Linked DNA regions of Lepisosteus oculatus. The protein of the gene in region 2 purifies or fractionates together with the protein of the main gene of each other region. This does not show direct contact. Links are inferred from orthologs where the notes say so. Each region holds a gene or a part of one and is shown on either strand. Other genes may lie near its edges.

What was found.
Region 1: the proteins of ccdc6b (region 2) and ppp4r2b purify together in Homo sapiens (co-immunoprecipitation; 3 studies listed by BioGRID and IntAct, counting the BioPlex papers as one, with this or other methods). This does not show direct contact. The link is inferred for Lepisosteus oculatus from reciprocal best matches to the Homo sapiens genes CCDC6 and PPP4R2.

The regions. Positions count from the first base shown.
Region 1 is NC_090699.1:51,221,182-51,228,348, reverse strand, and holds the start of ppp4r2b (serine/threonine-protein phosphatase 4 regulatory subunit 2-B), read right to left. Parts: upstream 3,055-7,167; 5' UTR 2,939-3,054; coding exon 2,905-2,938; intron 2,376-2,904; coding exon 2,294-2,375; intron 1-2,293. UniProt on the Homo sapiens protein: Regulatory subunit of serine/threonine-protein phosphatase 4 (PP4). May regulate the activity of PPP4C at centrosomal microtubule organizing centers.
Region 2 is NC_090699.1:22,930,799-22,938,553, reverse strand, and holds the start of ccdc6b (coiled-coil domain-containing protein 6b), read left to right. Parts: upstream 1-4,695; 5' UTR 4,696-4,941; coding exon 4,942-5,199; intron 5,200-6,423; exon of another isoform or gene 6,424-6,438; coding exon of another isoform or gene 6,439-6,477; intron 6,478-7,755.

The DNA of each region.
Region 1 (7,167 bases), about 28 Mb from region 2:
GAACATTCTGTTTCCACTATGAACATTTATCAAGATGGCCTGCATTCTAAACCAAAGGCAGGACCTTCCAATTACATGCAATGTAATCCTCAGAATAATCCTAGTGTATTTTTTTTTACATCTGTACAGTCAGAAAATGTTTTTTGCAACACACTTGGATGAACCAAACATCGTTGTATTAGACAATAAAATCCAGGACAGTTCTGTGTATTTTGACTTGCTATTCATTCTGAGACAAACTTCTTGTTTATGAACAAGATTTTTATAAGAGTGAAATCTTGAAAATCATCAAAACACATGGAATTATATATTAAGGAATGTATAATTGCAAACAAAATAACATGTGTAAAGTGTGCTATATAATTAACTCTCCACAAAGACTTGCAAAACAAAACGGTCAATGTCTAACAAAAACTGCCATTTGCATTTCTTTAAAAAGGACTGCCAGATTTCTGCTTATTATATTGTTTTACCTATATGGATATACATCTACAGTCCACTATGTAAGCAGCTCACTTTACTGCTACGCTGCTACTTATATCAACCTAACTGAAAGGCCTATAATTAGGCCTATACAGTTTAATTTAAAAAAAGGCATTACACTAGTTTTGTTCACTATAACGCATTCATCCTAATATGAGGACTAAAATGGTCTGAAAACTTGATCAAAGGTACAATAATAAGTTAATATAAATCTTGAGTTAATTTGCTTAAGTGTGACTTAAGTCTACTTTAAAGAACTACAGCATACTAAACTAGTTTTAACTATTTAATAAGGCATAATTTACAAATGTAGATAACGAGAAGCATCTAAAATGCTTTAAATATTCACACGAATTAGTTGAGATGCAATTAACAGCAATCTAAGGCCTGGTTTTGAATTTTATTCAAAAGTATTCAGAAAACACAATATGCTACTTTTGCAATCTTAATCATAAAATTCACTATGCCTTACATAACAAATAAACCAGGGTCACCAACACAAAATTTATATTTATTTCCCTTTACTTACAGTTGTTTAATAATTACACATGGACATGGCTTAGTGTAAATCATCAGTGACTTAGTAACAGCACTACAATCTGCTTAAATATTTTGCAGAAACTTATTTCACCGATTAATAAACAAATTTCAAATTTGACCCAATTAAAATGTCTAAAGTGACAGCTCATATGCCCCAGTTCAGCTGTTGTAAAGTTTACAACCAGATTGTTAAATAACACTGAACAGATCACCGATCCACCTCAGCTTCGTAAACGGGCCAAAAAAAATATAGAAAATCTAAAATTCCAGTTTTGTAAAGCCAAGTTTATTTTCACTTCCAATTTCAATTTCAGGAATTAAGAAAACACTTTGGGCATGATGATAGATTAAGGGGTGTTTTAAGGGAAAATGTATATTTAAATCCCTTGTTAAGCACAATATCAAGTGTATTAGCCATACTAGCTTCTTGATGAAAGAGCAAAAAATGTCCTATATATTTGTTCAAATCTAGGAAGGAGGGGCATCAATGAAATAAGAGGAACAAAAGTGCACACACAATGCAAAGGTCACAGTCAGTGCAACACCGTGACTTAAACCAAAACACTACCATAAAATACAAAAAAGGTCAGCTTGGTGCAATGTGTAATATTGCAGAGTGTAAGGAGTTGTTTTTCACTTGGAAAGTGCTCTAAATAAAGACTGCATTAAGACGTGCATTAAAAACTTGTTTCCAACACATATTTTCATATATTCTACATATTGCAATACATCACTGCAAGCAATAAAATATTCTCTCCTTCAGGTGAGAAATTAAACAATGCTAGGATTCCTCCATCTAAATGAAGCACGGAAACTTAAATCGAAGGGCACTGATCAATATCTTTATCCAAAGACTGTAACAAAACTACACTTGAATCAGCATTTCTCCCACCTACTACGGATCAGATACAAAATTAAACGACTATTGTGCCATATATTGTTTAATTTCTAACTGCTCACATAACTACACATCTGCTTTTATACGGTCCTGTTTTGCTAACAGGTGTTTAAAACCAGAGGTTCCCCTGATCCCTTTAGAAGTATATAGCGGTGTTCTCAGCAGGCTGTCCTCTTCAAAGACTAATTTGATCAGATATTTCGGATACAAAGTAAGCCAGCAGTAGTCTAGGTTACTACAGACATGAGACATGTATATCCAAACTGCAGTTCTCTCGATCCCCGTTGGGGAGACAGTCGTTACCATGTCTGTTACTCTACTCCTGAGACACATTAGGCCTCTTGCGTGCGGTTCGTCAGTAAATATACTTACATGGTCTCCCCAGTCTTTGCGACATGACATAGAAACTGGTCCAGCGTCGGACACACATCCTTCTTGCCTTTCTTCTCAAAATCTACACATAAAGACAGATAAAGGGGGAAAAGTAAGAGCCACATCAGTTGGGTCCCACACAGCCTAGGTGTCTGTTAACCGTATGCTGCAAGGAAAGTTACAGCCACTGACAGGAACTAGCAAAATAAAACTCCACATCAGGATCAGCTGTCTGCAGGAAATTCTCAAACTTTCCCGGCGCAACATGAAGAAAAACACACGATTAAAGTTAAAATGTTTGAATTTGAGCATGTAGTTTTACAACAGCTACAAACGTTGGTTACCGGCTTGGGGTTAAAAGTGCACATTATAACACAACTAGACTACACCAAAACGATTCAAAACACTTCCCTGAGAGAAGACTATTGTTTTAAAGTGTATAATAAGGTATCCAAATAGCCCTTAGTTAAATTTATTCTAAAATTGCACACACAACAACAGCCACATTCAACACCTTACTACTCTTCAATCCTAATCCCGTTCCGACCACTTCTATTCACACTTTTTCGAATGCCGGAACGAAAAAGACAGTAACGTCTACGTTTCACAACCTTTCAGGGCCTCCAGAAGTGTGTCGATTTCCATGATTGTGGCGTGAAATGTTTGAAGCTCTTCACTCCGTCTCTTTCTCCTCCTGAATCCAACAGGAAACAGAAAGCTGGCAAGCAGCGTCCGAGACAAAAAATCAGCACTTCAATATGGCGCCCGTGTCGTCACTGCCTGCCTGCACACACACTGAGCATGTGCGAACTGCCAGGCGGCGCTCATCCTACCTCGTTTCACTACTGTACTACTGGAAACACCATTAAACCCGGGCAGCTGGTTCCAGCCAGTCGCGGAGAGACCCATCAATAACTGCTTCTCAGGGGATTGCGACTTCTCTGAAGTTTGCTAGGTTCTTCTTTTGCAGCCGTGTAGTCAATAGCTTTAAGGTAGCCTTTTTGCTTAAAGATTTTCTATTACTATACTGTCGTTGTTGTATTTGGAAGACATTATCCAAGACAACGTGCAGCACGAAAATCTTTAACAGAACAACTTCTTGAATCATTAAATTTCAAGAGAAAATAATTTTAATTCGTTTTTTTCTGAATAGATATTTTTCTAAATATTTTCTAAATATGTATTCACTAGTGCCATTTTCAATGTAATTGCTTTTAATAAGCTATGTCTATAAAACAAGTCACTGTACAATAAAAAAAATAGAAACTGCAGTATTGAAGTAGTGTTGTAGAGTTACAACAGAGTGACAGTTCTGTAAGCCTGCAGTTATTTACACTACAGCATTACTGCATTTAGTACTACCTTAATTGTACTGCATCAAATGTAGGAGGCTTATTACTGTTTCCAAAAGGCTACATTGTAATTGCAATATTAATATTGCTAAATGTGTATCATTTGAGAAGTGTGCAATACTGAGACGTGGGCTTGATAAGGTTACTTTATGTGAACATGTACAAGATAGGATGAGGTGCATCTATAGTATGTAGAACTGAAGACTTTGCTGCACCCCCAAGGAAGACTGCTAGGGGCACCCCTGCACATGCTTATTGTAGTTTAAGGGAGGCTTTTATAATTGTGCACCTCTTTTCTACTTACTACTTTTGTGCCATTAAGTGCTTTATCTATTTTTTAATTTCACACAGGAGGCACTGCTGTACTTTAAGCTACCATGGACATTTTGCTTTTCTGCTGTATAAACTAATCCCATCATTGTAATACATTTTTAGAAGGCTCATAGCACTACCAACTCGACTGACTCACAGTTTTTCAGATGATTTGTCTTTATGAATTTTCACTTTTGGTGATACTTACCTAGAAACTATTGCAGTCAAGCCCCGTCTACTGTACCATACATTGATAGTAAGCATGCTACTGTAAAGTAGCATCTATTTGCTGTTCTCTTGAACAGCTGTTCATTCACCTCCCCACATGAATTATTGCTGAGTTGAAATTTTTCAGTCAGTGACTTAGGTTAACCATTGACAACTACAAGCAGAGTGGGCCATTTTTATTGCATTGTGTTCTGTATGTTGCTAGTGTTTCAGCAGTCAATGAGTTATAGGACTATACCCTGTCTTAAATTTGATGTCAATAGACAGAATGTAATAATCGGATATTTTATGTTGTATATTTCTAGTTAATGTAGGAGGGTTAGGAGAGAACTTTGTATTCACTTTGACATTATAGTGTATTTTGTGTAAATCTGTGGCAAAAATCCCAATAAAATACATTATGATATTAATATTTAAAATATTTTAGATGTAAAGCCAACAGAAAAAGCCTGTATTTCAAATGTTTTTTTTGTTTGTTTCTGTGTTACTTGTAGGTGGGGATGAGAAGTATGTTTCATATTTCTCTTCAGTACCATTTACTTTGACAAAGTATTAACTCTTATTAAGTGGAGCCAGTCAAGCACTTTGGAAATAAATGTCAGCAAAACAAAAGAATTAGTGCTACACCAATTTGTAATTAGGCAGATTTGAGCCAGCCACACTTCAGCCTATAAATATAAATTGTCAGCTTGTGGACATTCTTCCTTTTAAGTATCTGGGTACATACAGTACACTGATAACAAACTAAAATTCTTAGACAACACAGAGCATGGTTTTTTTAAAAAAAACCCATGCAGAGATTATTTCTCTTGAGAAGGTTGAGGAGCTTTGATGAAAGCAAGCACATCCAAAGATAGTCTATACAAGTCTGGGAGGGAATGTGCTCTCTTTTAACATCTCTACTTGGTATGGGATTCTTGGTACCAGGTGTACAGCTAGGCACTGAAGGATTATAAATATGAGCAGCAAAAGTATTGTTCAGAAATGGAACCAGATGAACCACTTGTATACAAAGAGTGTTTGCAGGAAAAGTAAATGATGCCTCACACCCACTACACTCTTGGTTTGAAAAACTACCATCTGGTCAACAGTTTAGAATCCTGAAGGCTACAAAAACACATTTTTAAGAACTCATTTGCTCAGAGTGTCATTACTCTTTTAAACTCTGATGTATGAGCTCCTTCAGAGCACAGTATTTACAGTATATTTATATGTATGGACAAATTTGAATCTTATATGTTTTTTATTGTATTGTTGTTTATGTGGGATTTATTGTATACAACTCCAGTGCATTAGATGTTTTATGTTTTCTGCATTTGTTGTCTCAGTGAGGTCAATAGAAAAATCCCACTCTGTGTGGACAATAAACTAAATTCTGATACTGATATACAAAAAGATGATTTCCATCCACTGAAAAAAGCAACAGTGCTCAGTACTTTGCAATTTTTTTAAATTCTTGCAACTAACACAAAATATTGAGGTAAAAGAAAATTAAAGTTGCTGAAAAAATAAACAACACTTACAGTTCTTAATTTAATATAAATACTCCAAAATACCTTTTATTATACAAAATCAGAGCCTCCTGGAAGAAGTGGATTAAACCCTTCCCAAGTCACAAAATAAACTTCTATGATAATATTAGGGAGCAGTAGTGTATCAGGCAAATGTCTGGATTGTGGGTCTCACTACTGTTTTAAATTGAGTGAGGTACTTTACCCCTAATTGCACCACCCCACTGTATAAGTGGACACCATCATTGCTGGGGTAATCTCACACCCCAGGGGGATCCTGCTTTCTAGTCTGCTAAGTTTTGGCCAGATAAATTAATGTGGCTTGGATATGGAAATTACCTGCCTATAATAGTTTTATCTGCAATCCACTAAAATTTGCTTTATTTTGGAAAATAAAAGTATCAAAGGGAAGCAGAGTGGCACAGCGCCGGGGTTGTGGGTTCAATTCCTGGGTTGCTATCTGTGTGGAGTTTGCTCCCCCAGAGTTGCATGGGTTTCCTCCAGGTGCTCCGGTTTCCTCCCACAGTCCAAAAACATACTGGTAGATCATTCAGCTTCTGGGAAAATTGGCCCTGAAAATTTGTGTGCTTCTTTCTACCGTGCAATGGACTGATGTCCTGTCCAGGGTGTACTCTGCCTTGTGCCCATTCCTTGCCGTGATAGGGTTCAGCTTCCCTCGCAATCCTGAACTGGAAGAAACAGTTAAAAACTGGACAGATGAATGGAAGTCTAAAAGACAAATAGTATGCAAAGTTTAGTAGAACTTGCATACAGAAATACTCCTGAAATGTGTTTAGATGAGGACCAATACTTCATTCACATTCACTGATACTGCCTGTTCAAACTGAAATATTCAACCTAAAACAGGCACAGATTTTTGAGCAATACTTCTTTTGGACCACTTTAAGGATTATACTAAGGATTTTTCCAGAGCCAACCTCCGTGACATTGAAACACAGGGACCACCAGATTGGTGAGAGGAGAGGGAAGGCCAGCTGGCCCTCTTGCTCACTTGGTTAGTAGTTGTTAATTGACCGCAAGATCTCATCCAAGCATTTCTTGAAACAGCTGATAGAGACAGTTTTAACAATATGGCTAGGCATCCTGTTCCAGACACACACGTCAGGAAACTGGGTTCTGTACAAGACACAGATGTTTTGGTATATCTTGTCCATACATCCATATGTGAATGGCTTGCTAAACGTATAAGAATTTGTATTGCAAATAAAACATAGCGACACAGTATGTCCTTGTGAAAAAATTAATAGCTGAATGAATGGATGACATGTTTAACAAGGCCTCATAAGTAACTGTGTGTGACCACAAAGCAGAACTGATCTCTTGGTATGTTTCCTGGTTGTGTGCCAGCTGCCAGTTCTGTGCACTCTGCTGTTGAGGGATGGCACACAAACAAGGAAAAGCCAACAGTACTTTCACATCTCTGAAAGCCTTACAATAAAAACACAGAACG
Region 2 (7,755 bases):
CAGTTAAGTTGGTCACAGCCTGCTGTATACAGGGATTGTAATATGTATTGATTGTGCTATGGCAATAAAGAAAAATGCTTTCTGATTTTAATAATCTGTTTTTGTTGTGTCTGTTCAGGTGTGCAACTTTTTTTAGTGTCCTGTGAGGAGATGACTGGAAATCACAGCTGACCATCTACAAAAATCAGCAGAATTCAAAGTGTGTCTGCAGCTTCCACATTAACGCATGGTATTACGCAAGAGGACTTTTTGATTTAGCATGAGCATGAAAACTCACTTTATTTCAATGACCTGGAGTGTTAAATTAAAAACAAGATGTGCCATGGTGTCAATAAGACTTCTTAAGTTGAGGCGAGTCATTGAAAATAAAAAAACAACAATGGCAAAGCAAGCAATTACTGTGATTAACGATGGCACGAAAGCTGACCGGCAGGTGAAAACAGAGGAACACTTTTGAATCACCTTCTACACTCGCCTTATATTTTTCTTGGACCCATAATGTCAGGGTGTAAAATGCTGTTTCATTTCTTTTTAACAAGATTATCAGTGATTTTGCTGTATATAAATTACACTGTATAAATTCTCAAATAAGTAGCCTACATCTTGTGAAGGCACTGACTTAAAAGAACTTTAAAGTGCATTGGAATTGAATGGCGATGTTGAAATGGTTCCAATTTTAAAGGAAGGTTTGAGTGTTACTTCACAAATTCTTGTATAATTATCAGCAGGTATAATGTTTGTACATGAAAAAAAAATGCTAGCTTGATTTTACCAGAAGAAAGTTTCTTTAAATCTACCGCGACTTTAAATAATTCTCAAAATGGGAATATCTGTAGTTCTGTGAAAACATTTCTTCAGAGTACTAATATTTTGATGCATGCGATTCACCTTATTTTAATTACGATTTTTCTAAGTTTGCAAACAGTATATAACAACTTTTATCTGTGTACACACATAGCCCTTACATTTGTCACTATTGCCAGTTTTTTTAAAGAAAATATCCTGGAGACATCAACATGTGAATCAGGGGAGGGAGGGACTTCATTTTTCCTGCTTATAGAAGGGTTACTGCTTGCAAATCTACACTAAAAGGGCAGCTCCTGAAGGCTTAGGCTAGAAACACTATGAGAGAGAAATGATCCGAATGTATATGCTAGACTGGCACGCTGTAAAATTTACCTGTATCATGTGTATTGGCTATAAGATGTAGAAGTCTTTCTGTAAGCCGATTAATTGTAATCATTCTAGCAGTGTATTAATAGGTTTCTAAGGCTGCTGTGGTTTAAAAAAGGGCGTTTTTATTTGGGTTTTGGTGAAATATTTCCTTTTGTTGAATCTATTCATATGAAATCACCTAAAGCATTCATTGATAGTAGCTCTAATAACATATGTATGAAACAAACAACAAACACTGGATGATCTAGTTGATTATTTAAGCATAAAATAAATTGTGTTTAAACCCTGAAGCTGTGTGTTCATTTTAGAGTTGAGAATCTGTATATAACATATCTAGCATTTTTTAATAGCATATTACTTTGGAGAACTGTTGTATTACATTAGATTAGATTAGAGTAGGCTCTCTTAATTTGAAAAAATAGCCCTCTTACAAAATTTGTGATTTGTATATAACAACATGTTTATAAAAACATGGATACATTATACTGAAATCACTGCATAGGTCAACAAAAGACCAACAATATGTCATGAAACAGTTAGTGTCACTGTATTTTGCCTTTTTATATCTTTGAAGCATGGGGATGGAGGTTATTTAGCTTGGAGACATAACTGATTTAATCAAATGTATCCAAATAAATGTTAATTCACCAGATACAAAAAAATTTAGAATTAAACCACATAAAGAATGGATTAATGTAATAATTGTTTTGAAACATTGCATTTAAACACTTTGATTATGTTTTTTGGGGGAAAAAATCATAGTTCTATAACATTGAACTGTGTAGGACTGCAATTTCTGTGCAGTATTCTATTAAAAACTTTGAGAAACCCACAGTATGTTGATTTATATTTCGTTTACAATGGGATTTTTGGACTTCAAATATTTTTCAGCTGCAAAATTAGGAACTACATACTATTACAAAGTCCTGTAGGAAAGGAAGTGTGATTTCACAAGAAAAATATATTTCTACATTGCGTGAATATGGACCCATGCTAAAAGATTGTTTTTAAGGCACATAATACAGATCTTCTTAAACATTGTATGTATTGTATAAGTAGCATAGCAATGCTGTTATACATTTATTGACTTTGAGCTGTTGAATTTCATCCATAGCATTCATTTTCCTGACTCCTCTTTTTGTATGTCATACACACTACATTACAGCATAATCGCATTGTATTCATTATTGGTCAAATGTAAATCCTATCACAGTTTTTAAACAAAATACCAAATAAAGTTAATCAGTGAATAAAAGATGTTTGTTTTTCCAGAGCATGTTGGGCTTACAGGGGACATTTCTAAAATATGTAATAATTCCTTGTGTTTATACAGTACGTTTCATCCCAAAGTGATTTACATACAGTAAAGGACCCACTTCATCCACTACTGAAATGCAGCAATTACCTAGATAATGCAAGACCAAAGTTTTAATGACCAAGGAGATAGCACCTTGCTATAATGTCAGAGCTGATGGATGGCATCTCCTATTGTACAGTGTCCCCTTTCACCATGCTGAAGCATGGGTTTGGAATTCCTGGTCCAGAGGAAAAAGCACCACCTACTGGTCTACCAACACTATTTTCAACTATTTTGTGTGTTGGCACAGAACACATAGATTATAAAAACAAAATGATGAAGACGACTTGCAAATATGGTAAGTGATAAAATGATTGTGGGAAAAAATGCATATTGCAACACATATTGCCTCTGTGTGGCTCGGGTCTTTCCTTTCGAATGAAATCATTGCCGAAGGGAATATTACGCAGTTTTATGACTGACATGCGGGGTTCTCCGTATTCATTTGTTTTAGTGCTTGATCGAACCGAATTCCATGTGAGACGGCAAAACCGGTAATAGTTCTAAATGTCCAAGAGCTGTTTCAGCTGAAAAGTAACATATGTTGTTGTGAATAGACAGCAAGGGACCTGTGATTTAGTCGGAAGCTAAATTTAACTAAATACTACTAAGTGAATACTAAGTGATCTACTGAATACTAAGTGAGATTTTACAGAGGATGCATCAGGCGTCGAGAACAGCGCCCTGTCGCCAACAGTACATGATTCGAAAAGATAGAATATTGTTATTTGATCCCCACTTGTGTAGCATCACTGAAGTTGAAATACAGCGCAACATGCATATGCACGGTACTTTGGATCCGAACTCCCGTCCACAAATCGATTCACAACAAAATAATTGCAACAATATTTTCCTGCTTAATCCATTCTCGACTGCGCCAGTCATTTAATCTACTTTGAGCTGCACATAAAGAGAAATGCATACATTTGTTTTAAGGCTGGTTTAGAAGACGAATGATAAACGCCATTAAAAACTTTACTCCCCTGTATGAAATAGAAATTGACAGTTCTTGCCTAAAAATAAAGCGGGTTCTCACGCTGTCGTTTGAATCATTCCCTCTGTCCTTTGAATTATTAATAATAATAACCAAGAGATAATCAGTTATATATACATAATTATTTTATTTTGTACGTCACTTAAGAGTTAAAAGGACAGCGGAAATGCCACCACCGGTACTGAGGAGTATGAAATGATCACTGCCTCTTTTCTGTAGTCAGAATGGTTACTTCTGTAAATCAGGTTACAACATACCATTTTGGGGAGTAAAAACAGACACAGAGAACAAGTAACAGTAACAGGGAATGTGAGTGTAACATACAAACACAACGAACAGTACAATTTGGTAGCTGCTGACAAGATCATAAGGTCATTCTAACAGATCACAGCAAAGGCATTTTTACATCAACAATCAAATAATATCAAATAAAAAATGTGGTGAGATGATGAGAATAATAAGAAAATAAAAAAGTTAACGCATTATGAAAAAAAAGTTTTTTTAAAAAACCGAAAGATTACGATGATTGTGAAAGATTAGTGTATGAAAAAAACACTGTACTGAGTAGGTATCTCTGCTCTTCTGTCTCTGAAATAAGATGGAACATAATCCAAAAAAAACTATTACTATTTTAACATTTTATACATACAGTACATTTTTTGATAGACTACCTGTTTCATTTATCTCATGACTTATATCTTATTACATTGTTATGTTTATGTCAAGGGTATTTTCACATTTCTGTGCAATTGATCAGCTATGAGAGGCAGATACAATATGGAGACCTGCTACTCCTTTCCCTGTCTTTGTGCATGCACAGTTACGGATTCATGATTCAGAAATCAGGCCACATTTACAGTCGGCACTAAACCACTATTACGTGGTTTTTATAACATTCATACAAGTCTTTAGGGCGTGACACTCCGTGGAGCAGATAATCAATTGTAATTCCTTAGTTAAAGGAGAGGCGAAAAAAAAACAACTAACAACAATTCATGTTTGCCGTTTTATTCTTTTTCGTAAACAAGGCAATAATGTAGCTCTATTTAACAATGTCAAATTCGTTGCAGATTTTTGCAAACAGGTGCGGCCCCGGCGGTGCAGTACCCTAAAGGTTCGCTGACCTGTTCATTTTCAATATTTAATGTGCATTAGCTGCTGAGGGGGTGGGCATAAGAGTGCCTGGTATCTTCATAATCATTTTCGTCATTAGAATATCAATCGTAGAACATCAAACATCGAAGAAAAGGAGCTCAGTTTCTCTCGCCGTACCTCTTCGCCTGTGTCGTCGCTCTTGCGCGGGGTCGCAGTTCCACCTACGAGCGGGAGGGGTCGCCCTGCGCGCCGTTCCAGGCTTCTCCCGGCACTCCGCCCAGCTTGAAACGCAGCTGCCCCTCTCACTCGCTCGGCGAACATGGCGGACAGCGCAAGCGAGAGCGACACCGATGGAGCGGGCAGCAGCTCGGCCGCCCCGCCGTCTTCTACTTCTTCCTCGTCTTCCAGCAAGCCGGGCATCGTCATCTCCCCGTTCCGTCTGGAGGAGCTGACGAACCGGCTGGCGTCCCTGCAGCAGGAGAACAAAGTGCTGAAGATCGAGCTGGAAACGTACAAACTCAAGTGCAAGGCGCTGCAGGAGGAGAACCGGGACCTGCGTAAAGCCAGCGTCACCATTGTGAGTAGCAGCGGGGCTGTGTGCGGGGGATCAGGCGTGCGGACACATCATGGTCGCTAAAATGCGGCACACGGCGGGTGTACTGCGTTAATCCCCAGCCGAGCTTCGTTAAGTATCCATCTTTAAAACGAGAGTAGTAAGACTCTTGGTTGTCTGCCTGTGAACTCCTGTTTCGCCCCATTTTTTCACGAGAATGTATCGTTCAAGGCCTGGTCTCTCGACCCTCCCCCCCGCGCTGAATACTCCTTTTTTAGCCTCTCTGGAAGGCAGAAATCACACAGCAACGTTCACGGTACCGTAACTTAAAAACGGAATCGCGGACTGTGTCTGTAAGGGGACATTTCTGTGTTTCTCGGGGGCTCTAGCGAGGCCGCCGCTGTCCGAGCCTGGGCTTGAACAGGGGTGAGGGGAGCATCCGAGGGGTCTCATCCCTGAGCGAAGTGGAGCCCCGGCCGTGTTGAACTGCCCTTGTGTGTAGCACAGCGCTGTCGTCCCCGACCCTTCAAACAGTAAAAATCCCTGGGCAAGTAGAAATAGTCGGGCCTCCTGGTTTCCTCTTTATTTGTTCTGCTGTTAATAGACGAAACGCCATAAGCATGGCATTGTGTGCTTTAGCGGGGATTTGAGCACTGTTAAAATAAAAGCGTGGATCTTGTAGCTGAGAAATGTTCGCTTAAATGCTAATTATGTAAAGCGGTGTACTTTATTTTGGTTGAAAACGCTGCATGCCGTTCCTAGTGGCCTTTCAGATCCGGACCTTTTTTTTTTTTACAAAAGGAGTTCATCGAGTCATTTATTGAGGCATAAAGCGAGGCCAGTCATTGCTCAAGTTTTATTTTTTTACTGGATCATTCTTCTCTTCGTCCGACTGGAGTTGTGCCGGACATGGCAGTGATGGGAATCGGAATAATTGTTTCTACGAGAGACAGAATCACAGCAAAATGGTTGTCGGTTAGGTGTGCATATGTGCGAGAGCATCTCGTGTCTATACGCCGTCTACTTTTAAACACATTTCTGTACTTTTTAACGCCTTGTTCCTTTCTGGCGGTGTATCTACGTGTCTGTACTTTCAGATGCCCCGGCACAGGAAACCGTACGTGTAGTTTGCGGGTTAGCCCGTTGCCATGTGGATGTCTCTTTCATGGTCGTGTTTGGGTGGGGACTGCAGCACGTTGTGTCTTGGTGGGCGGTTGACAGCCCTGTGCCGAGAGTGACTGCTGTCGAAATCCGGCGTAATGTATGAACGTGCTGTGTAATTTTCACAGTGCCACCCGTGAGGTTAGTTTATACTTGCTCCGGCCGTTCACGCTTGCCGGCGTTCATTCTTTCTTGCAGTTATCTTGTTAACTTCTCACTGTGATATTTTAAAGCCAGCTTGATATCGGTGCCTTCATTTAGGGGCCGATCTCTTATCGAGCCCGAGGTGTACCGTGAAGAGAAAGGTGCTTCCGAAGTTTCTTTTTCATGCAGCCGTTGCTTCTTGTCTCTTAAATTTTCCATCTGTTTATAATGCAGTTGGTATCAGGAAGTGAGCTAATTGACGCCATTGTGTTTTGTGGTTTGGATTCAGCTGGAGTTTTCACAGTTGGCGTGTAGTTTTGACTTAATGTTTAATGTCAGGTTATAATAAGAGCAAACGTGGACATGGTGACATTTCCTGTACACCTGAGTCTTGAAGAATGTTGAATGAGTAGGTAATGTTTTGGACCTCAGGCTCAGACCCTTGTTAAAGTAGTTTGAAAACATTTGTTTTGTTTGACCCGATTATGGTTTTACTTCAGTGCAGTACGGTTAATCAGTAACACGCTGGTCCAAAAATACAGCTACCTTCTGCTTTCTGATGGTGAATGAAGCATAGTGCATGTGGCCTTTTGAGTTCAGTGAGTGCTACCTCATTCCTTAAAGCCAGAGCCACTTCTTGCTTTTTGAACACAAGTGAGGAATCTGGGTAGTTAAGTGTTTTCTGTCGTGTAATGTAGGTCCTTGTACATCTGCTTTGATTCCTGCTTTGTGACATGGCAATTTTTGGTAACCACATGACGAGTTAGAACCAAGGCAGGTGTAAGATAACCTATGTTTTACCTCAACAATGGGTTGTGCAAGCATGTGAACTGCAAATGCATACTGTTAATTCATCATAATCAGTAGTAATACAAAAGATCAAGGACAGTGGCCAAACTATTTATAACAGGAGAATTCTAGGTTACTGAGTTTGGTAAGTATGATGCAACTATGGGCGGAGCGGTGGCTCTGTGGCTAAGGATTTGCGCCCGTGGCTGGAAGGTTGCCGGTTCAAATCCTGCAGATTATGCGGGGAAAAAGACGAATTCCTAATGTAAGAAATTGTATATGGCTAATAAAGTGATCTTATCTTATCTTATGTTCCAGTGGTATTCAGGTTTTTACTCAGTCACCATCCCTTTAAATTCTGATGTTTTTGTCCAGCAAGAGTTAGCGACATGTCGTTACTGTACCGAAAGGTGTTTAGACCAATGTGTAAAAATAATGTGTCATAATGTCGGGAAATTGCTTTGTGCTTGTTCATTGTACACATTT